4 linked regions of the Drosophila melanogaster genome follow. The gene in region 4 interacts genetically with the main gene of each other region. Each region holds a gene or a part of one and is shown on either strand. Other genes may lie near its edges.

Region 1 (5,003 bases), on a different chromosome or scaffold from region 4:
ATTAATTTTAATTTTTGCGCAGACGCACCCCAGGGGCGGTAGGCTTCACTGCCTCCATTCTGGACACTGCAGACAAGCCACGAGTGATGACTGATGATGACCTGGCGGAACGAGCCACACTACCTCCATACATACATCCACGAATGTAATTAAGGTGGCCAAATGGAAAAAAAAGGTGCCACAGCGACAATTGAAAGTGTTGCAACGCGAGTTGACAAATTTCGATGTTGCCCAAGAGCAATGCAATGCGGTGATTGATGGCTGAGGTGGTGGTATTCAATGGCGTAAAGAATTTTAATATTAGGAAATCAAGGAATTTCCCTTAAATATATATATTCTATCTGAGGGGTAAAATAACCAACTTTAAGTCCTGTCATAAAGATTTTTATATTTACTGTTTTTAACGTAGAGTTCTAGATTTATAATCTCAAATGAGGTATTCGGATAAAAAACGATTTAGCAACTGTTAACGGTGAACTAAATTATTTGTAAAGCCCGTCTTTATGTTAGTCATATTTTTCAGAGTTGCCAACTGACCGTGTGGCCTAATGGATAAGGCGTCGGACTTCGGATCCGAAGATTGCAGGTTCGAGTCCTGTCACGGTCGTAAAATTAACTTTTTTCTTTTGTATCCAGAATTTTTTTTATTTATTTTATGAAAATGAGATTTGAGGGCATTTGGTTGCATTTATCACACTTTGTAAGTCTGTATCTCACCTTCTTGAAGCGCCTTCGCTGCGATGAGGAGTGCGTCGATGCAGTTTCGAGCAGATTGCTGTTGTTATCCCCCCCATCCCTTTTGCCCAGTGCCTGGAGAAGATCGTCAACGTTGCGTATATAGGGGCGATCTCGATCCCCGCCGCGTTCCCTTTCCTTTTCGCCACCCCCTCCACCGCCGCCCATGCAGCTGGTTATGCTCCGATTGCCCACACTATTGCTACGCGATCGGGATCTGGTCTTTTGCTTGCCCAGCCAGTAAACCTGATTTGCCAAATTTATTTCGGCGGCTGCCGCAGCCTTTCTTCTGCCCAATTGTTGTTGCTCCTGCACCTGTTGATGCTGCTGCTGCTGTTGTTGCTGCTGCTGCTGTTGTTCACTGGCCAGATATTCGCCGGCTATATGAACCTTGGGTGCACTAACCAACTGCAGGCCAGTGGCGCCGAATTGCTGAGGGAATTCGTGCAACTCGAGGGGGAAACGGGGATCCATGGTCTGACCCGGTTGACGCGGGTACATATAGCCATCGCGTAGAAACATCTTGCTGGTGGTATAGACCCTATCCGCGATTTGGTACACTCCACTCGAGCCGGGACCCTCGGCGCCGCCAATAATTCCATTTCGGACATAGGCTGTCGGGCGATAGCGAACGAGTGGGTTATATACATTCGATTTGGGGGGTTTCGTTTTGAAACTGCGACGTCGCGTGCTGGGCTTCATATTTTTGTTGTATTTAATTTTCGTTTTTGTTCGTTTGTATTTGCACCCCGCGATAACAGAATGTTTGCTCTACAGAAAATCCACCCTTGTGCTGTAGGTTGCTTGCACACGTATCAAATGTTTTCGAGTTTAAGCGTGCTTGGAACAAGCGACCGTGTGGCCTAATGGATAAGGCGTCGGACTTCGGATCCGAAGATTGCAGGTTCGAGTCCTGTCACGGTCGAAACCAAAGTATTATTTTTTTTTTGTGAGAAACTTATGTTTTGTTCTTTAAAAAATTCAATTTGTTGCAAACTAAAACCATAAAATAAATCAACAAAAACAACAAAAATTTTAAGGTTCACTTGGCTAATTTTACATAAAATCTACACTGTCTTTAGACTGACGATAGAATGTTTTATGATTACATGTAAAATTAGATCACGCAAAATTATATTTTTTTCCTTTGGAAATATATAAAAAAAAAAAAAATAAAACCAGATTAGTGTTTCAAGGGTGTTGAGTTAATTTAGAGACTTTTTGTTCTTTTTCAAATGTAATTTTCGACCGCGTAAAAGTATGCTATAGATATGGTTGAATTATTTTTCATGGCGTTCTTGTTTAACAGCGCACAAAAGCAGGCAACATTTGTGTTTTTAAAAACGCCTGAGAGAGGCCAATAAAAAAGAGATAAACCCTATAAACTATATTGAAAATAACCGATTTTTTAAGGGTTTTACGCGACCAACACGTTCGGCACACTGCACGTTCGATTTTCCACTGCAATTGTTTGATTTTATTGCAACAACTTTTTCTGCTTTTCTGTTGTTTGCTGGAAGGCACGCACTGCCAATCCAATTAGCCGGGGTTCACCTTTCGAGCCGTCGTCTTTGCGCAAGGTAAATTGTTTTTCGAACCCAAAGTATTGACACAGTTTGCGAGTCACTTGTTTTGTTAGACACATTCGTCTTCCTGAACTGTCAACCGAGCTGTCATATGGATGAGACAGAATGGAGAATAGAGAGAAAGAGAGCCATGCTAATCTGTCAACTCTGAGTTCGTTAATTAAAGACTGATTTGGCAAATAATTGTGGCTTAGCCCTGATCGACCCCAATACCAATTTACAAGCTCAAAACATTGCAAAAACTCAAAGGTACCCCGATTGGGTCAATGAATGTGCGGTCTATTGAACTTTTGATAGTATTATTGACGCCCCTTTTTCACTTAATGATTGCGAATTGAGTTCAGCCGTCGGAAAATACTTTCAAGGTTATCTTACAGGGATCATAAATATAATATCCAAATTTATAGTTAAAAACTAAGTGGAAAAGATGTGGCCAAATATAAATCCCTCTGTCTAAGTGCACATTTTTCTTGTTTAATATATTCAAATTTTCCCTTTCTTTTATCACTTCTGTCACTCCACTTAATTCAATGGCCCTTCTCAGTTTCAATCTGTCAACTTCCTATTATTTCCACCTTATCTGTTTGAGGTTTGTCTTTCTAACACTTCCGCCTACGAAAATCGTTTATTTTTGGTGTGGATTTCTTTTCGTTTCAATCGCGACGAGGCTCAAATACGAACTAAACTGAAATGAATTCAATGAATTTGAAGAGCCTATCGGACACGAGAACATTTTCCAATGGATAGCGTTTCCAGCCGGAGAAGAATACAAGAACAAAAGTGATTGCGATAAAGCTTGGACTGAGCTGAGCAGAGCCCAAGTGAAATGAGACGAAATGAGGGGCTTAAGCCAAACAAATACACCCCTTAAAAGCGTAAATTGTGAAATGGGGCAGATGTTTGGGGGAAAAAACCAAGAATGAAAAGGTTTGAACGATGAACCTCGAGCTATTTTAAAACCACACCCAAATATTTAATACATATCAATCAAGTTCTATGATGTTATGACAAAAAATGGTTTGAGAAACTCTATTTTGTTTTAAGAGGCTCCAAAAGATTTTTATGTTTCTAATTCCATGGAAATACGTATATTTTCTTTGCATAAATCATTGTACTTACAAAGAATTCATCTTCGATGACGGGATCGGCCAGCATCTCAATGGCCTCCGTCATGGATCTGCAGGTGCGATTCGTGTTCTTCTTCTTCTTGAGCTTCCGGCCCAAGGTGGCGGCATCGCTGAAGCGATGAAGCAGTTTGTCCCTCTTCCGGACCGCCAGCGGACTGGTCGTCGAACTGGCGTGACATAACAGCGATCCGTAGCCATTCGTAGAGGATATGGTGCCAGTATTAGCGTAGAAATTCTGCGGTTGATATTGCGCCGGAGCAGTGAGTGTGCTGTTCGAGTCGATTTTCTGTATGAGATTGTACTCGGATTGGGGATATTTGCTGGCCAAATGCGATACAGAATCCGCTTTGGAACCCAATTGCGGCTTGGGTGGCGGCGGTGGCGGTGGATCCTTCATCAAGGCCACCCGACGGGGGGCGGCGCGGGGTATGGTGGCCGAATGGGGGGAGGAGGTGGCGTCACCGCCATAACTAACAGCGCGACGATTGCGATCGTTTTCCTTTTCCCTGAAAGGAAATTTAAATTTAATTTATTAGAATTTTCAATGTATGTTTTACTTGATAATAATAGAACTAAATATGTTTTAAGTACTAAACACAATGTAAATCTACCTATAACGCCTCCTCTGCATCGGTGGACTAAAGAAGAAGTTGGGCGACAGGGGTACAAAGTAACCCCATTGGGGATCTCGATTCGGTCCCTCATGATACATGCCCAACTGGGGCGTCATCTCCCTGGATCGACTGGATCTGAGAATGGGCATGGAAACCCTCTGTGGTCCGAAACTTCTATTAGAGCGATACCGATTCCTATACATATGACGCTCCAGTGAAGATGTGGTGGTCGTAGCATCCGATTCCAGGGTGCAATCCGAATGATCCTTGTTCTCCAGGGTCACATTACTGCCCAGCTCATCGTCATTATCATCATCATCATCCGTGGAACACTCGGGCACCGTATAGCAGGCATAGTCGAATTGCGACATTGTAGAATCGTTTTTCTTATGTCTTTATTTGTTTGGCTTTTCGTTTGCACACACATTTAGTTCTTTGTCATTGTGTCTTTGCGACTCCCACGTAAAATGTTTCAATTATTTAATTAGTCTGCAACTTGTTGCTGTTTTTTATTTGAGTGCTTTACTTTTATTTTTACCTGACAAATGTTAAATGACATTTTCAGTTGGTCTGGCACTTAATTGCTCCACTAGAGTTTGGTCATGTCTTGGATATTTTCTGGTGGCAAAAGAACATTATTTAAGGCATTTATCATGTTCACCCTCTGGACAATTGTGCTTCCCGCCAGAAAAAAATTTCAGGGGTTGTGTATGTCCAGTGGGCACAATTAAAAGTCGTTTTCGGCCTCTGTTGAAAAGTTCGCCTAATGAGGTGTTGAACGGAAGACGTTCTAGTTATGATACTTAACTTGGCCACGACTTTTTACAGACAATTTACTACGGTCCGAAACACAAAAGAAATCAGTGGGAAAGCTAAAAGGGCATTTAACCGAAAGTATTTCATAATTGTTAAGTAAAATGTTCTTTTAGGAATCTTATTGT
Region 2 (4,849 bases), on a different chromosome or scaffold from region 4:
CAATGAATCTAGTATAACATCTTACTCTACGAGTAACGGGTATAACTACAACTACAACATAGTATATATTCGTGAAATATATATGTGTAATGGTTATGGCATGTCGGTTAAATCGCCAAAAAAGTAAAAAATTGCAAAAATACATATATCTATAAGCAAATTTGGTTATTAACAAAACCACGGTCGAGGGCTTTTCTTGGCCCATTAAAATATGAAAATAGAATATGAATATTAAGGAGCAAATCTAACCTTGTATTGCTTTTCTTTGTACTCTTGCCATGGTTCGGGATTTGATGTGCGATTCCAAGTGACATCGGGATTACGAGTAGCAAGTCGAGCCATATAGTAGACGGCTCCAATAGCTCCCGCTCCAACGCACACATAAAGTGGAATTAACTGAACAAATTTTTGTTATGCAATCAACAGATAACTTAATATAATCATAAAACTTACAGCTGGATTTTTTTTAAGACTTTGCAGACCAAGACCTTGCATTTTGTCTACGTTATAATTAAAATGTATTTAATATGTAAGAAAGAAACACATTTATAAAAAATTACCTAACTTTACTCAATCCAATAAAACAGAATGGAACTATATATTAGATATGGACATATTTCGATGCCAACAGCGATGTCATCGATGTTTTCCAAACATCGGCAACTCGATGTTGACTCAAACATAAAAATATATGTATTCATAACAGGCAGATGTCATATTATTTTATATGTGACATGCCAGTATTAAGCGATGCTGGTATAGAATGGGAACTCAAAAATCATGCACATAAATATTTTTTTTTACATCTAAGGAATATATTATTTTATATACGTAATTTTTATGCATGCTTGTCGCACAGGTTTTATGTTAGGCTGTCATAATAATTTCAAGCCGCCGGGAACGATATAATCTTCTGAAGTAGTCATGCATTTTTGTTACATTTTGTTTATATGTCGAAAGGATTTTTTTTCAATAATAACAAGAAAAAATGCTATGTAGACTTTCCCGACTATTAAATATCCGTTACTCAGCTAGAGGCAATATGATCGCGAAATATCATAATTTTTCTGGGACACGGATAGAAATTGGTGAATGCAATGAGAAAATATTTAAAATTGTTCAAAAATGTGGGCGTGGTCGTTTTTTGGTCGGTTTGTATCGTTAGAGTGGGCGTGGCAAAAAGTTTTATGACAAATCAATAGAAATTTACAAAACTAATAAATATATGAAAATATATATCAACACAATTTTCAAAAGTGTGGGCGTGGCAGCGTTAGGCGTTAGGTTAATATCATATGGTTAATCTAAGCTTTATAGCTTATATTGTTCCTGAGATCTCGACGTTCATACGGACGGACAGACGGACACGACCAGATCGTGTCGACTACTGATCCCGATCAATTGTTCCAATGCTTCCATCAGCCTATTAGGAACTTTTAAACGATTCTGGTATACCCTATTACTCTACAAGTAACCGGTATAATAATAAACATAGAAAACAACAATCCTGATATGTGTGGAATATGTTAATTCATTAAATGAAATATTTTTGTTGGTAAAAATTAAAAATATTATTAAACTTTTCTCAATCGTCTTCAATACTTGAATATCACATATTTTTCACGAGAGTTCAATCATCAAAAATCAATTTTAATTATTTTCTTAAAGTCATTACTAAAGAATGACTCACAGGACTCAAAACTACAAAACTATTTAACTTATTCATTATATATTGGTTACGTTACGTAGGTCATGTGGCTCAGTGGGACTATGATATATTTAAAGCCCGCATTCTTTACAGCACTGCAAAGTTACAATCCTGGTACTATTAATAATCAGTGGACTACATATTATCGAAAAAGGCGTCGTCGGTTAAAGAATTTATGTTAAAACCTGATAAAATGGGCACGTTAACCGATTTCGGACAGATAGCTTTGAAATGGGATCCCAAAAATTTGGAAATTCGCACAATGTCAGTTGAAAAAACACTTGAACCCCTTGTATTACAAGTAACTACTCTTGTAAATACCAAGGGCCCAAGCAAAAAGAAAAAAGGTAAAATGTTTATAGCTTATAGTGCCTAGAAAACCTAAATATTAGAACTTTCAATTTTAAAGAAACTTTTTGCGAGTCGTGAATAACTGTGCGTATACTCATTTTAATTTTATTAATTATAAGTATTGTGTACATACGAGAAATGATAGAAAATGTTCTAAAACGGCTGTGTATACTATACATACATATTGTGACATCTTAAATTTTGTAGGATAGAAAGCATTTGAATTCATGTAACAAGCTTAAAACTGAAAAGGAATGTGAAAGCATCTTTTACCTCTTTAAACGCAAAATTGCGAAAATATAAAAAAATAGCCTATTAGTGATTTACATATATTTTGATTGTGTTTCATTTTGTTATATGTATATCTTTCCAATTTCTATCGATATGCAATAAAAATGTTCAAATTTATAGTTCGCTTGGCCACTAGCTGAGTAACAGGTATCTGATAGTCAAGGAAATTTACTATGGGGTTCGCTGTAATATATATTTGTTACTCGTAAAGTAAAATGGGGTACTAGATTCGTTGAAAACTAAGTATGAGGTAGAAGAAAGCGGTTCCAAAAAAAAAATATATATTCTAGATCAGGATCAATAGCCGAGTTGATCTGGCCATGTCCGACTTTCTGTCCGTATGACAAAGCGTTTTCATATGAATTCATATTTTCATTAGTCTTTTAAATTTCTATCGATTTACCTTTTTTTTTTATTAGAGTTTATCATTTATTATTAGTCATACGTCAATAGGAATCGTTCAGTTCCTTCTGAACTTAACCTAATGTGTAGCTTAAGAGATATGGATTCCGTTCCTTAATTAAAGTGTATACAAATGTACCGTGGAGAGAATCGATTTATCAAAAAACGTTTTGCAACGCCCACTCTAACGCCCAAAAATTGGTTTTCACACAAAAATGTTTTGGTATTTTTCATACTATTTTATTGATCTTGTAAATCTATTGATATGCCAAAATACCTATTGTCAGGCCCACAAACCGCCCAAACTTTTTGAAAAATATATTTCTTGTTTAAATATAATTATTTCTTTTTCAATTTTTACCGATTTTCCAAAAAAATTGAAATCTTTCACACTTCTAGTTGAGTAACGGGGTATCTGATAGTCGGGGACTCGGTTATAGCATCCATTCCAGTTTTTGTTTTAAGTCATGTCAATTCTTTTTGCAAAACCATTTTGGTCAGGAGAACTATATACAGAACTATCACAGGATGTAAACAGCTGTCAGGCCCTTAAAATACAATAAATTGTTACTTCATATTATTTAATTACTGTTTTTATACCCGTTACTCGTAGAGTAAAAGGCAGAAGGAAGCGTTCCCGACCATTAAAAGTAAATATTTTTTGGGCTGGCTCCAGCTCTCTTGAATTTTTGTTCAAGAGCCAGATTTCGGAGAGCTCTTCAGCCAGCAACTTCATTTTACGCATACAGTGACAGCCGAAAACTTTTTGTGTGTACACGAATACTCATGCATTGTAAATTTGACAAAATATGCCCTACACTTCAGAAGTTTTTGGAATTTAAATCTATATTATTTTTGGTCAATTGGCATTATTTTAAAAATAATTTTTTCCTATTCGTATTATTTTTATGAAATATATTTTTTTAAATGTATTAAACTGTATGTGTTAAACTACAAAAGTAATAATAACTATTCCATATCGCAACTTTTTTTCATTTATAAGTTTAAATATTGATGAACCTAATATTAATGCTGTAAAAAAAAACTTCTCCCAGTCCCCTGTTGAAAACTCCAAACATGTTAATTCGTTTCTTAGATCAAAATTGATTTCGGCCCGAAAATCGTCTTCTAGCACAAGTACGCACACATATACACTTTCACGTTTAAACGTTACTCACACAAGCAACCAAAGTCTATTATTTTACGCTCTCAATATTATTCGAGAGAAAAGAGCACAATCTTGGCCGTCACCAAACAAGTAGCTGCTTAGTGAAAAACCAATGTATGGCCCTTACGCATCTTGTTATTCTAGTGTCTTTGATCTGACCCTGTCCGCCCTTCTGTCTGTCCGTTCGTATGAACCTCGAGTTCTCAGGAACTATAAAAGGTTGAGATTAAGACATTTACGCAGCTCAAGTTTGTTGACCCATGTTGGCACACCTATTCTACCGCCCAGAGCTGCTACGCCTGACCTTTGGAAAAATGTGAAGTTTTTTCATATTTTTATTAGTCGTGGAAATTTCTATAGACTTGCCAAAACTGTATGGTAAAAGAGTATACCAGATTCGTTAAATTCCGACTATATAAAGTATATATATTCTTGATCAGGATCAATAGCCGAGTCGATCTAGCCATGTCCGTATGAACGTCGACACATTAGCTAGAAGGTAAAGCCGCCCTAAAACCGCCCAAAACTGACACGCCTACATTTTTGAACCATTTTTCTATGTGCCTAAAATTTTTTGCCACGCCCACTCTTACGCCCTAATTTTTTATAATTTTTTTAGTCTTGTAAATTTTTATCGATTGACCAAACACTTTTTTTCGCAAGTGCGAGAGTACAAGATAGATAGAGGGCGAGAGAGAGTAGCTTAGACAACGAAAGATAATCGCCTATCTGAGATGCCGTAGAGCTTAATGTTGTGTCTCCAAAGTTGGCATGTTTACAAATAAGAAATTTAGGCATTGCTGGCTGATGCAAGACCCGAAAATCGATTTTATTAATGTGATCATTTGATCATTACTTAATGCCGTTTTGTTTTCTTATAAAAATCTATTTTCGCTAGCCCCATTGCAAACGATTTTTTTTGACGAAGC
Region 3 (7,871 bases), about 15 Mb from region 4:
GATGGACAAAATGAACCAAAAAGTAGCATTTTCTGTAACTCCAGTAATAGTAATCTCTCTATTGCAGTTGTGGTCGCTGTGGACACCTGAACGATTTGACGACGAACAATTAATCTCATTGTAGACTTAATACATTTGCAATTCATTTAAATTAACTACAATTATGCTTGCAATGTGAATACATAAAGACAAATAATCAATGAACAATTTAAGACTAAACAAATTCCAATTTAAGGTCTCTTTGCGAATCGATGTAACTTTAAGCTGGTCAAGTTGCAGTTGACGAATTTATAGTTTTTCGATTCCAGCGTAGGCGTGTGAACAGTTGCATATATATTTATATATAGATTGGCGTCTCTTGACCGGTGAGCAAACGAAACATGGACGTGGGCATTGTCTTCATCAGGATCTGATTGGAAAGGTATTGTTAATATAAGAATAACGAATTTAAAAACGCGTCATACCTCGCCCACTGAGGATGACAACAGCTTGACAATGGTATCGTGTGGCACGGCCACAACGCTCTGGTTGTTAATCTCAATGATGCGGTGGCCTACGCGTACTCCACCCCGCTCAGCGATTCCTCCACGCAAAAGACTGCAGATCTGCATTAAATAAATACATATGATTAGAAGGATTAGAATAAGAAGAATAAATTCAGCATTTTATAATTACCACGCCATTTTGAACACTAAAACCCAACTGGAACAGCGCCTTGGGACGCAGGATCTTAACCTCGACGACAGGCGGACAGGGCACAACGGTGAACTTGACGGCAGTTTGGTTCTTGGCATTGCGTATGTAGCTCTGGCAGGTGGACAGCGGCAGTCCCACCAGGCTCATGCCGTTAATGGCGATCAGCTGGTCACCGATGTTCAGCTGGCCGCAGCGGGCAGCTGCTCCTGAACTCATCAGGTTGGCAATCACCACGGTGGGCAGCATGGATCCCCAGCCACTCTCTACGATCACCACGCCTAGGATCTCGCCTTTCGCCTTCGGCACAACTACCTCCTTTTGCAGCTCCTTTTTGGCAAAGATCTCCAGCTCATCACCGAAAATCTCCTGACTGTTGAGCACCTCCTGGTAGTCCATCTCTTTGGCCAGACTCTCGTTTTCGATGCCGTTCGCCTTCAGGAACTCCATGTAGGCCACCTGGTTAGGTTTTGATTGTTAATTATACGTGCCAATAATATTATTAATATTCGCGTACCTGGAAGGCCTGTCCAATGGACTGAGCTATGAACTGCGCCTCATCGCTTTCGAACACGTGGCAGATCATTTTGGGCGTGCGATTGTGCTTGCTGAGTGGCTCTTTGGGGGGCGACTCCTCCTCGCCTATGCCCGGAGTGGGAACATCACCTAATGGACTGGTGATCGATGGATCCACAACACTATTCGGTACGAATCGACGACGAGCCATCAGCACAACCAGATCGCCAATGTCAGCTATATAGGATATAGTACGCAGCGCATGGTCCATCATGATCTCCTTGAGATCCGTGTTAAGCACCATTATCTTTTCGGTTGATATGAACAGGTCCACTTCAGTGCTCGGCTGACTTTCGCCCTCGGGAGCCTGGTAAAAAAATAGCAAATCATATATTATATAATGCATTTAATTCTTAATGCTATCATTTGACGACTGAAAGGGGCTAACGAACGCTTACCAAAGCCTATCGAGAGGAATGCGCAGCAGGGAACGAGAAAAGCGAACGAGAAAGTTTTTAGACACACACATAGAGCATAACCTAGCGGGGTTTCCTTGAATGGATGTGCTTTCGTGTGCATCACCAGGTTTTCACTTCACTTACCTTGATCCTGGAAACGGCCTCCTCGGCCTGCATCATTCTGGTCGACTTGGTCGGCTGACCCTCGCAGACAAGTTGAGTGGATCCAAGGTATCTGGCCCGAAACAACACGCCCTCAATGAGAACTTTGGGTTCCAAGAGACCTAAGAACGAACATTATTTAAATTAGTTACGAAGTGCGTTAATGGTCTTCATTTCTGATTGTTAATACACATAAGGGTAGTTTAATAAACCTAAACATCTGCTGGGTAACAGAGACTTACGTGATGTCAGCATTAAATAGATTTGAATTGCAGCGTGAAATGTTGAATCGGTTTCCATATCAGTAAACGAACAACAAGGGGCGTTGACAACTGTGCTAACTTACCCTCTTTGTTCCGCGATTTGGCCTTCTTGTCCGAGTTGGCAGAGTCCTTCAGGGATTTAATAGAGCCCGTGGGACTTTTGGTGAACTGCAGTTTTTCCGGCGAGCTTATGGAGATGTCGGTCGTGCCCACAATCTGACAGATGTCCGGCGAATTGGGTGTCAACGAGGTGCCGATGCCTTGTCGAATGGTGGCCGTCGAGTAGGTTTGCGGCTTGCTATTATTCATAGGATTCGGATTGTTGTTGTCCGACGTGCCATTTAGATGCCCATTGCTGGCAATATCCGTGCCCTCATTGGCATTGTTATCAGCCAGGCTCTGTAAAATTATTATTTCGTAATTATTTTGAGCTGATATCTCTGTAAGTTTGCATTCCTCACCTGATCGGCGAAGAAATCCTGCTCATCGTGCCTCTGCTGACCCAATAGACGATCTGTTTCAAGGTCGGTGTCTGGTTCCTCATCCGCCGCCGCACCTTGGGCCGTCGAGATCGTCGTCCCTTTGCGTGGAACCCAAACCGGTGAATCTGGATCCGTGGGCAGCACTTCGTCACAGAATTTTAGTTTTTCAGGCTGCGTTTTAGCACGCTGCAAGGCGGAACGTATCTCCTTCATGGCCTCCTGGATTTCCGAAGCAGCCTGCGATGGCAAAGATCCTCCCGCAGTTACTGGTGTCACCCCCAGTCCTGATCCCGCTGACTTCTCTGTGTGAGTACCTCCCAAAGCTGCTGCATAAACCGCACCGTAGTGACTGTCCAGTGGATTATCAGCATCTGGGACCATGGTCATGGATTCACTTGCATCGGCGATCTCGATTTGGGGCGGCGATGATGGAGGCGGAGCCGGGGGCATGGGCAGTGAGGCGAAGTCGCTTATCAGCGCCGATTGCGAGGCATCTGTGGTCAATGTGGCCAAGCTGGCGCTCATCACATTGTAGTCGTTCTCCAGCCGCTCGCCATTACCGTTGTGCTCGTGGACGGGCTGAGATTGGGACGATTGCTGCTTGTCACACACCACGGATACGTTGTTCTCCGTGTCGGAGGCGTGGCCACTGCTCAGGCCATCTTCTAGGACAGGCATGCTCGTATACAGTTTACCAAAATCCGTGGGGCAGTTAATGTCGTTAGACAGACTGTCCAAATCACCGCAATTCGAATCGTAATCCGTCGTCTCGGGAGACAGGGTAAAGTTTCGGGAGTGTCGGCGCAGATTTGCCTCCAGTTCGGTGTCCGCCAAATCGCCGCTGCTTCGGCTATTCGAATCAATGTACAGCTCAATATCATTATGCTCCTGGTAGGCCGTCGATGGATTCTGGTCACTGGGCTAGAAATCGAACAATCGTTAGCTATTTTAATGAATTTCATTTCGTTATGACTCACTGGCTTTTTAGTAGGCGACCGGTGAACCATGTAGAGCTCATCTTTAGGTATTCTCGCCAACCGCTGTCCTATATATGCCTGCTCCATGGGCGTGGCTGGGTACTCTTGTGGCTGCTAGTCAATCAAAATGCAATATTAAATGGGTTTCTAGGCTTCTTGGAAGTAGTAGTACTCACCGAGCTAGCGACATCGTCTCCACTTTCCGTGGTGTAATCCGTGTACCGCTTTTCGTCCTCCGGATTCGCCTTGAAGAACTCCTCCAGCACCTTTCTGGTCTCTGAGAATTCGTACAGGTAGTCGAAAGTAGGTGTTTTCTCGCGAAGCGTCCCGGAACGCTCTTCCTCGTGGTCGACCAAATCGATAAGGTTGCCCACGGATGCTTTAGCTGCAGCAGTTGCATTATTAGCGACACTGGTGGTGGGCGAAACTCTTTGCGGGAAACCCGGCGGACGTTTTCTAGGACCACCCATGGTAATGGTATTTGTATTCGGTTGACTTCCAAATCGTCGCGGTGAACCCTCGTACTCGGCTATTGGCAGCTGTCCAATCATTTTGGTCACCTTGAGGACATCCTCATTGCTGCCTGGACGCTGGCCACTCGATGCCTTGTTCATCCAGTTTGTGTCAATGTCGTCGAACACCACGATCTCACCATCACGCAGGCACTGACCGTCCGCCTTGCCCACATCCGTTGGTGAGCCGGGGCTGGCCAATCCCTTAAAGAAAAAGCAGAAAAATCTCATTGTAGTGACTGAAACTACGCCTCTAAGTAATTCTCCAAGTTAAATTACCTGTGGCAGGACATCCCGTGTCTCAAACTGGCTGCCCGGACTCCTACCCAGTCGGATTTGATGCAACTGCGGTCGCTGGTAGTAATAGCTGCCAGAATCGCGTCCCGCATTCGAACCATAGCTGCCGGATCCCTGAACACCTCCGCCCGATGGCGAAAGACCCTGCAGCGGAACGTAGGACAGCTCGCCATTGAGATCCGGCGAATTGAGCACCGTGCTGGCTGGCGTCACATTTGGGCTACGGGTTCGCATCTCCCACACATAACGTTCCTGCTGCTGCTGCTGCTGCTGGTGCTGATGCGATTGCTGCTGCTGCGCCTGCTGGCCAAAGTTCATCTGTATGTGCGGTGGATTGACCATGGACTCGTTACTGCTGTCACTGCAGGAGTTTGAGTTCATGGCTGCACCAACAACTTTGATTCTCCAGGTATGAGGGACTGCGGCTTCGATACTACTACAACTACTGCTCTAGTGCTGCTGCTGCTGCATCCGCTGCTGCTGCTGCGATTGCTGCCTCACTGTGGGCCACTGCCTGGGGGAGAATGGATGATTAGTCGATGATCTAAGGCGGCAATGATTCACTGCGCTGCAGCTCAGCCCAGAAAAAAATCAGGGACAGGTGGTCGTGTCGATGACGTACTTTTGCTGGATACCTTGCCGCTGCGTACTATATATTTAAATCGACATAGAAATACCTGGATTACCGGGTGTGTTTAGACATACGCGATACGGACAACAGGAACCAGCACAGTAAAATGCCAATCTATAAAATTGCTGATTTGTTATTTTTGGACCTAAGCCTATTGCTTTAAATTGGGTTTGCCCCAATCATTCCCTAATCATTCTCATGTGTATTTGTATCTTATTACAGGTCCTAGCTCACCTCGTTAAATGTAATTGAGTTTAGCTAATAATAAGTATTCCATTGTTTCGAGCTTCGGTTTGTTGCTGCACTGGTTTGGTAACCTCTGGTTGTGGTGACCCCCTGGCTGGCCAGCGCAATCAATGCGGGCAATTAACCCACTATTGCCTGTCCATGTGTCTATATGTGGACACCTTTTTTAGGGCCCCCCGCCGCGGTTGCCACTGACCGAGCTTGCGAGTTTCCGAGTTCCGGAGCTACCGTGTCCGTGGTTGATTGCGCACACGTAAACTTGGCCTCCAAAAGTCCTCGCGCAGGCAAAACAAACGCAGGAAGCTGCAGCCAGACACAACAACCACCCACGCGAAGGTTGAAGGATGTGTGGTGGGTGGTGCAAGTGGGTGGTGCCAGGGGGCGATGGTGGTGCTGGTGCTAGCCCTTTGTTGTCGCCGATTGTTGCAATCACTCAGCACTTTGGAGGCGTGGGAAAAAAACAAACTCCCCGTTACCGTTATGTGTATCTATCCATGTGCGTATTGTTAAAAATCAATAGATTTGTCGTATTTTTTTTGCAGCTCCTTTGCTTTTCGTTTCGTTATTTTTTGGTGGGGGCACCGCACAACACAACACACTCATGCACACACTCGTCGCATAACGACGCACACACGCAGCGCACTCGAGCAACAACAACTGAAACGGCGGCAACAACAACACGGCCAGCAAATAGGCACGAAAACAACACCTGTCGCGGTTTTATATTTACCATTTAATTCATATTTATTGCACTACTCCTTCAGCAACTCGATTGGCGCAGAGCGATTGGCAGCAATATAGATAGTCTCTGCTAGAACATCGATGGCCTATCGATTGCTATCGACAGCGAACAGCCGGACAGTGTTGAGCAGCGTTAGAGGGTACTATTCAATTCGTACCTAAGTAGGTGCTAAAAGCCATTTTAAACATATTTAAATATGTTTCCTTCTCCACCCCAGCTTTACTTGACTTTACCCTTTCTCCTGTACCTTGCCCTAATTACGCGGTACCGTCTACTTTTCCAACACTCCTTGTACGATGAATTTCCCGCGCCAATTGATAACACTTTTTCGAATAATATCAGTTTAGCATTTAATGATTAATGTACTCCATCTGGGTTTTGTTTTTCGTTTAATATTTGCAACATTCGAACGGATAGTACAAGTACAAGTGGTGTATAAAAGTTCGATGAGCAAAATTGACAAGGATTGTGTGGCAGTAAACAGTTTTTCTTGTTCTTCGTTAGCTTATAATTCGTTTTATATATTTGTGTATATTGAAACAATTTCTTGCAGTCTTGCCAGAATTTCAGTGATAATAATTCGTTCGTTCAAGATTTATCAAGCAATTAAAATTTTAACAGCAAGTTTTGTTTTTCCATCGAAAACTTAATGAATTAAGTTAGGAATTAGACACGGATTATTTTCCCAAAAATTCTAGCAACACCGGTGTGTGGTTGTGTGATGTTTTCTTTTAATTGTTGTTTGCTTGCTTCGCTTTTAATACATTAATTACAGTGTAAAGTTGCTCTATAGGCTAAACTGGAAGGAATGATTGCATTTAATTGTTGGACACAAAGTTGGAAACTTAATAAATAGTGTTTTCTAAAATTAGACTTGGGTTGGGAAGGGCGATAAAATAGTCAACAATATAAATAAGGTTTAATAATTAACTAACAGATACGAGTACAATGGGTTGGTTTACAAAAATCGGGTTAGTGGGGAAGTTGTTAGGGAAAGGCTTTAACTAACAGTCAAGGCCAACAAAAACATTGCGCACTTAGGATCTACACGTACACTAAACATAATTTTGGTAGTTTTGGGCTTAAACTAGTTGCTCGTTTGGTTGCCTAACATTAGTAAATACATACACGCGCTTAAAAACTACGCTACTTAATGATTATGATGTCTGGTTGTCAAATCAGGAATGGAATTTTAACAGCGAAACGAAACAGAATCGTAATCGAAATCGAACCAAAGACGTACAATAAATGATAGAGGGGATTGGACTTCCAACGGGGAAGGCCGGAGATTAAAGCTTTGTATGTTTGACCGTATCCGTCCAGTAGTTCTGTATTGTCATCGCCTCCAGCGAATTGAGAAACGAGTCGTTGTCCAGGCTGTACATCTCATCCGAATTGTCCTGCAAAATCAAGAGAGAGAACTATTTAGTGCATAGGACATTCAAGCGCCACTGGCAATTGGTCAACGAATCCTTACACTCACCCGCATCGTGCTATCATCGATATAGACACTCGAGTCTGGTTCGCTGAGCGCCTGCGGTTTGTTCAGATACCGACGACGGTACAGTACGATCCCAATGGTGCCCACTGTGCAGCAGACGCCGAAGACAGTGAAGCAAATCGCCGAAATGGCACCCGCATCCAGGAAGTACGTTCGCTGGAAATGGAAAAAAAAGCATGTTACTTTTGAAACCAATTTTTCAAATGATATCGAATTTAGCAATGATTAGTTTTCACCTACCTGAATGGCCAGTGCCTCGGATGAGATATTGCCCTCGTCGCCGACGCCTCCGTCGTAGAACCCGGATCCGGCCACGCCCCCCGCCACGCTGGGCGCCGCGGAGGCGGATCTGGTCAGAAGACTCTTGGTGTCGCCGGAGAAGTTGATGTAG
Region 4 (4,602 bases):
GGCTTTTTGTTATAGTTTGTTGGGGTGTTTATAAACAATTTTGGACTACGCATATGTAGAGGAAATGCCCTGACTATGCAACAACGTTCGCCTTATCTTTCGTCTTTGTGTAAATTTAGAGCGCAATGCATTGATATTCCCATACGGCGGCCATAAATTACATGACAATTACTTGGGGAGCCGAAGAAAATCAGCGGTGCTTGGAAAATCCCCCCTCGAAAAGGCAAGCAATGCGTGGAAAGAGGCGCGAAGAGAGAGCGGAAAATTGGAAGAGAGCCGACACTTCATCACTCGCTCCGAATTTTCCGATTTTCCGGCGGTGCCTCCCTCACACGCGTAGTTTAAATTGCGTTCGCAGCAATCGTGCCATAAATTTCCCTTCCGAAACTTGTTTATTTTGGTCTTGCATGTCTCCAGTGCCGAAATCTTCCCATCCAACAGTCCATCTTCATCGCTGGTAGTATCTTTGTATCTTTTGTATCTCCCTATCTCTCGTGGAGCGCACAGCTTGTGTATCGATTCAATTATGGGAAAACTTAGAATCAACTCATCATGCAGTCGATTGATTAACAAGTCGCACCTAGTAAAATGGCTCCCACAGTGTTTGAGTTTTCAGCTGAGCTTGGCTTTACTACAAGTGTGACATTTGAAATGTTCTTAAGCCAACTAAAATTATGCATGCAGCAAAAAGCGCAGGAATGTTGGCACTTCAAAAAAGGGCTGCTTAATGTAAAAATTAAGCTAATTTAATGATAAATTAATAGCTTCTTTTTGAAAATCATGTTAAACACTTCTCTGTGTGGTTCCCATGGGATTTCCGCCGTTTTGTCAAGCCACAGATTTGGACTTTTTACTCAAATTGCTCTGTAGAGGACCATATGTCGCTCTTCACAGCCCTTCTGGCATTCCACAATCGGAAGAAAGACTGCAGATTTCTACCAAAACGGGAAGAATTGTGGGTGCGAAGAAGGAGGAGAGATTGGTGAACAGCTGCTGTCCCGACAGCATTGACCTCTTGACGGCCAATTCTCCTACTTTATCTCAATCTGCAGTGTTTAAAGGGTTTATACTTTATGTGATCTTTTTTTTTTTGTTTTTTATCTTCTCCGGCAACAGTTGGTGGTCCACACTTTTGGCGGAAGGTGGCGCTGCTAACAGCAAATCAGAGTGCAATTAAGGCCAAAAGACAGATGGCCAAAAATCGTGGCACATCGGCTGGCAATATCCCCAAATTTGCGTGCACAGAAACAAAAAAGATATGTATAGCGAACACTAAATTGATTCGTATAAATAATTTATAATATTTTTTAATATAATTTATACATTGCATCTGAAAACTTATAGTAAATATATGATATGAAAACATATATCCCATATATATGGGAATTTAAAAAAACATTGGCTGCCAAACATAATCCAAATGAATAACAACATAGAACAGAGGTTGCATCGAGCCGCGCTGTTAGCCCTGTTGCATGCTGTTAGAGCCTGAAACACCACTTGCAACATCATCGAACATGTTGCGTCGCTTTGTTTTGTTTGAAGACAAGCCGCGCCGGCCGAAGAAGTCGGATTTTTGGATCGAGTTCGCACTTCGTTCCGTTCGCTCGTACCGTTCGCTTCGTAGCGGCGGAAACTCCGTACTTTCGATAGCTGGTATCTCACAGATACTTTTCGAGACCCCGAAGACGAGAACTCGCATCGCATATTCGCCCGAGAAAACTCTCAGTAAATCTCAGATAATTAAAACGAAATATATAACTAAACGTCAATTTTTTTTTTGGTGCAAACGCAAGCCAAAAAATTTCATTTTGGTGTGGATTACCAGTGGAAAAGTGTGTGCTTAAAATGGAATAAACAAGGCTATCATAAAAACAAAGCCCGAAAAACCAAACAAGCTGAAAATTGTCAACCCAACAATTATGGATTAGTGCCAGTGGCCGGTCAGAGTCAGTTAAAAATATATATGCATATAAGAGGACTAAGGAGCCGAAATTGTTTAAATTGATTACAAACAAACAGTGTGAGTAAAAAAGTTCATCAGTAAAATCTAAAGAAAACTCCTGTGCTTTTGGCTTTTTTCATGCGCCAACTGCAACAGCTGCTCCCTCACTTTGACCTTTTCGTTTGATTTTGTTTATAATATACTGTTACTGGCCAAGTCTCCGCCTCTTTTGGCCCCTCAAAAGTTTCGCTTTTGGCCACTTTGGCATTTGGATTTCGAGTTTGCTTGAGTGTATTTTTTTTTTTTTCGAAGAAAATATATGTGTTTTTAATTGAAAATGGAAGCATGATTTTTGGTTGTAAGTAGACTTTGTTAAAGCAAAATTTATATTTTCCTTTCTGCCTAATGAAATGCCCAATGGCAAGTACTAGTTGCTGAAAATATTAAAATGTAATAAAATATAAAATAAATTAAATTACCATCTTTCGAATAACGTTTAGATCTTATCAATCTGAAAATGAGGTTTATTATACAAAATCTATGTTAAGTTGTATATCACAGATATACTTTCCCCTCTACAATAATAGATCTTCAACTCCAGACCTTGGACACCTAATTAGCTTCTTCTGACCATTCCATCCCTCTGAGCATCTATAGAAAAAAGTGCTCTTCTTAACTGATTCGATCTCTTCTTTCCTTGGTTTTGCATGATTTATGATTTAAAGCAATAACTTTGAAAAACAAAATGTACAAAGCTAGTCAACGATTAGGCATTTCGTAAGCACTTAAGTTGAAAAATTAATATTAAATGTATAGAATGATTTTTTGTTCGTATACAAGTATGTACACAAACAAAAAATCTACTTGAATATATGCTAAACAATGCTAAAATCATTCTGAATAATTTACGGCAAACGATAAACTTTAATGAGTATAACATTCAACTTCAAGTTTTAATCTACATAATAGGCAATGTATATTAAATGTGCGCTTTGGTGTAATTCTTTAATGCGTATATTTATTTATAACATTCGAATGGTATACCTATTTCAATGGTTTATTTCTGACATTTATGGATTAATTCATTTGGTTTTAAGTAAATAAATTTGCAAATACATTTAATTCCTTTTGTCATTGATTAAGTGAAATGCCAGTAATTCGACTCTCTTATTGACACATTCAAAAATCATAAATCAATTATTCCAAATCCAATAGAAATTTATTTATTACTCATAAAATTTTTCTCTGTGTAACTCCCCCCAGCTGTAAGCGAAGAAAATGTTGCTAGCGGCTGTGGTGTTAAAGAACAGAAATGCGAGCTAAAGAAGCTGAAGGCCCAGAAGCTTTACCAATACATCGATACATTGCACACAGATACTCAAACATCTGCAAATGCATATACAAGCGTATCTTCAGACTCACGCACCTGTCCCTTGTCATTAAAAAAGCAAGCAAAGTTTCAATCTTCTTTGGCAAGCTAACCTTTTACTTACTCTGCTCCATCCTCTGGGTTCATATATGTCGCATGATAAACACCGGAAAAATATTGATTGGCTGGGAGATTTGCTAAAGCACGATTAAGAAAACTAGTCTCAAAAAAAGTTAGTCTTTGACCAGAAAAAGTATTTGTTCTTTTTTTTTTTAATTGAAATTAACTTATTTTCATACTTATTTATCTTGATTGAAGCTCCTATAAATTCATTTTGAATAACGTTATTAAGTTTTTTGGTTTGAAAACAAAAAGAAAAAATATTTTTAAAGTGTATTTGGGAACGTGTGTGTAGCTTTTGGATTTTATAATTTGGCCCAATTTGCTGGCATTGCAAATTGCTAAAAACGTCTGAAACAATCGACAGGAGGAAATTGGGGAGTGTGGGAAAAGGATGGCAAAAGAGGCGTTCGGTAGGCGTGGCAGGAAGTGCAACATGCTCATGTCGCAAGTTGTTGCTGCCGCCTGTATTTCTCCTGCACTTTTTGTTGCTGTGTTATCGATTGGCGAGGCCGCATTTGTTGGATCGTTTTGACGCGTCCTCGTCAGCATGTCGAAACTTATTTTTCCTTTTCAATTTCGCCCTGCGATTTTGCATTTTTTTTGTTTTTTTTTTTTCGCCTGCCTGTCGCTTTGTTAGTTCTTTGCATGCCACAAATTATGTTCGTCACCCCCTTTTGCCCCACCGCGCTGGATGGATTACCTTGAGAGCGGAGCTGTCAGGCTTTTTGACAGTTTCTGCCGTATCGGTTCCACCGATTTGACTGCTGCGCTCATCCGTTTTGCCTGTTTTTTTTTTTTGTTTAAGAAAGTGCTTCGTTTAATGAATAATTGGTATTTTATATCATTTAGGTACAATAAGAAAAGACTTATTGCCTGGTATTTGCATCTGCCAGCTAATTTCTCATCTCATCTCTAAAAAGAAATGCAGACGAGGGCATTCGAAAGGCAAGCAATTTATCCCTTGGTTAATTTGGTTAATTGAAGACAATTGAGGGCCGCTTTGCAGTTCATTAAGCCTCATCAGCGTTGAGAAATGGGGCCCAGAATCCAGAAGTCCAGAAGTCCGAATCCCAGATCCAGTTCCATCTATACTTTCCATTTCCAGATCTGTTGTCTTGTCGCCAGACTAATTAAAATATTTGCACTCAAATGCTTAAGCAATAAA

What was found.
Region 1: of rst (region 4) and pyd, changing one enhances a phenotype caused by changing the other (phenotypic enhancement), as found in Drosophila melanogaster (one study listed by BioGRID).
Region 2: of rst (region 4) and alpha-Cat, changing one enhances a phenotype caused by changing the other (phenotypic enhancement), as found in Drosophila melanogaster (one study listed by BioGRID).
Region 3: of rst (region 4) and X11L, changing one enhances a phenotype caused by changing the other (phenotypic enhancement), as found in Drosophila melanogaster (one study listed by BioGRID).

The regions. Positions count from the first base shown.
Region 1 is NT_033777.3:8,861,346-8,866,348, forward strand, and holds the start of pyd (polychaetoid), read right to left. Parts: upstream 3,004-5,003; 5' UTR 2,897-3,003; intron 2,189-2,896; exon of another isoform or gene 2,157-2,188; intron 1,661-2,156; exon of another isoform or gene 1,649-1,660; 5' UTR 1,438-1,648; coding exon 718-1,437; intron 608-717; exon of another isoform or gene 535-607; intron 1-534.
Region 2 is NT_037436.4:23,335,081-23,339,929, reverse strand, and holds the start of alpha-Cat (alpha catenin), read left to right. Parts: upstream 1-1,829; 5' UTR 1,830-1,883; coding exon 1,884-2,055; intron 2,056-4,849. Other genes in the region: ND-MLRQ (NADH dehydrogenase (ubiquinone) MLRQ subunit), read right to left, coding at 250-396, 454-495. UniProt on the Drosophila melanogaster protein: Associates with the cytoplasmic domain of a variety of cadherins. The association of catenins to cadherins produces a complex which is linked to the actin filament network, and which seems to be of primary importance for cadherins cell-adhesion properties.
Region 3 is NC_004354.4:17,597,776-17,605,646, reverse strand, and holds the start of X11L (X11L), read right to left. Parts: upstream 6,040-7,871; 5' UTR 5,968-6,039; intron 5,657-5,967; exon of another isoform or gene 5,226-5,656; intron 4,875-5,225; 5' UTR 4,742-4,874; coding exon 4,343-4,741; intron 4,268-4,342; coding exon 3,728-4,267; intron 3,666-3,727; coding exon 3,552-3,665; intron 3,496-3,551; coding exon 2,554-3,495; intron 2,492-2,553; coding exon 2,176-2,491; intron 1,952-2,175; coding exon 1,812-1,951; intron 1,674-1,811; coding exon 1,668-1,673; intron 1,577-1,667; coding exon 1,211-1,576; intron 1,153-1,210; coding exon 676-1,152; intron 606-675; coding exon 465-605; intron 410-464; coding exon 338-409; 3' UTR 1-337. Other genes in the region: CG12991 (uncharacterized protein), read right to left, coding at 7,269-7,400, 7,463-7,636, 7,721-7,871.
Region 4 is NC_004354.4:2,970,822-2,975,423, reverse strand, and holds the start of rst (roughest), read left to right. Parts: upstream 1-1,589; 5' UTR 1,590-2,023; intron 2,024-4,602. UniProt on the Drosophila melanogaster protein: Required for correct axonal pathway formation in the optic lobe and for programmed cell death in the developing retina.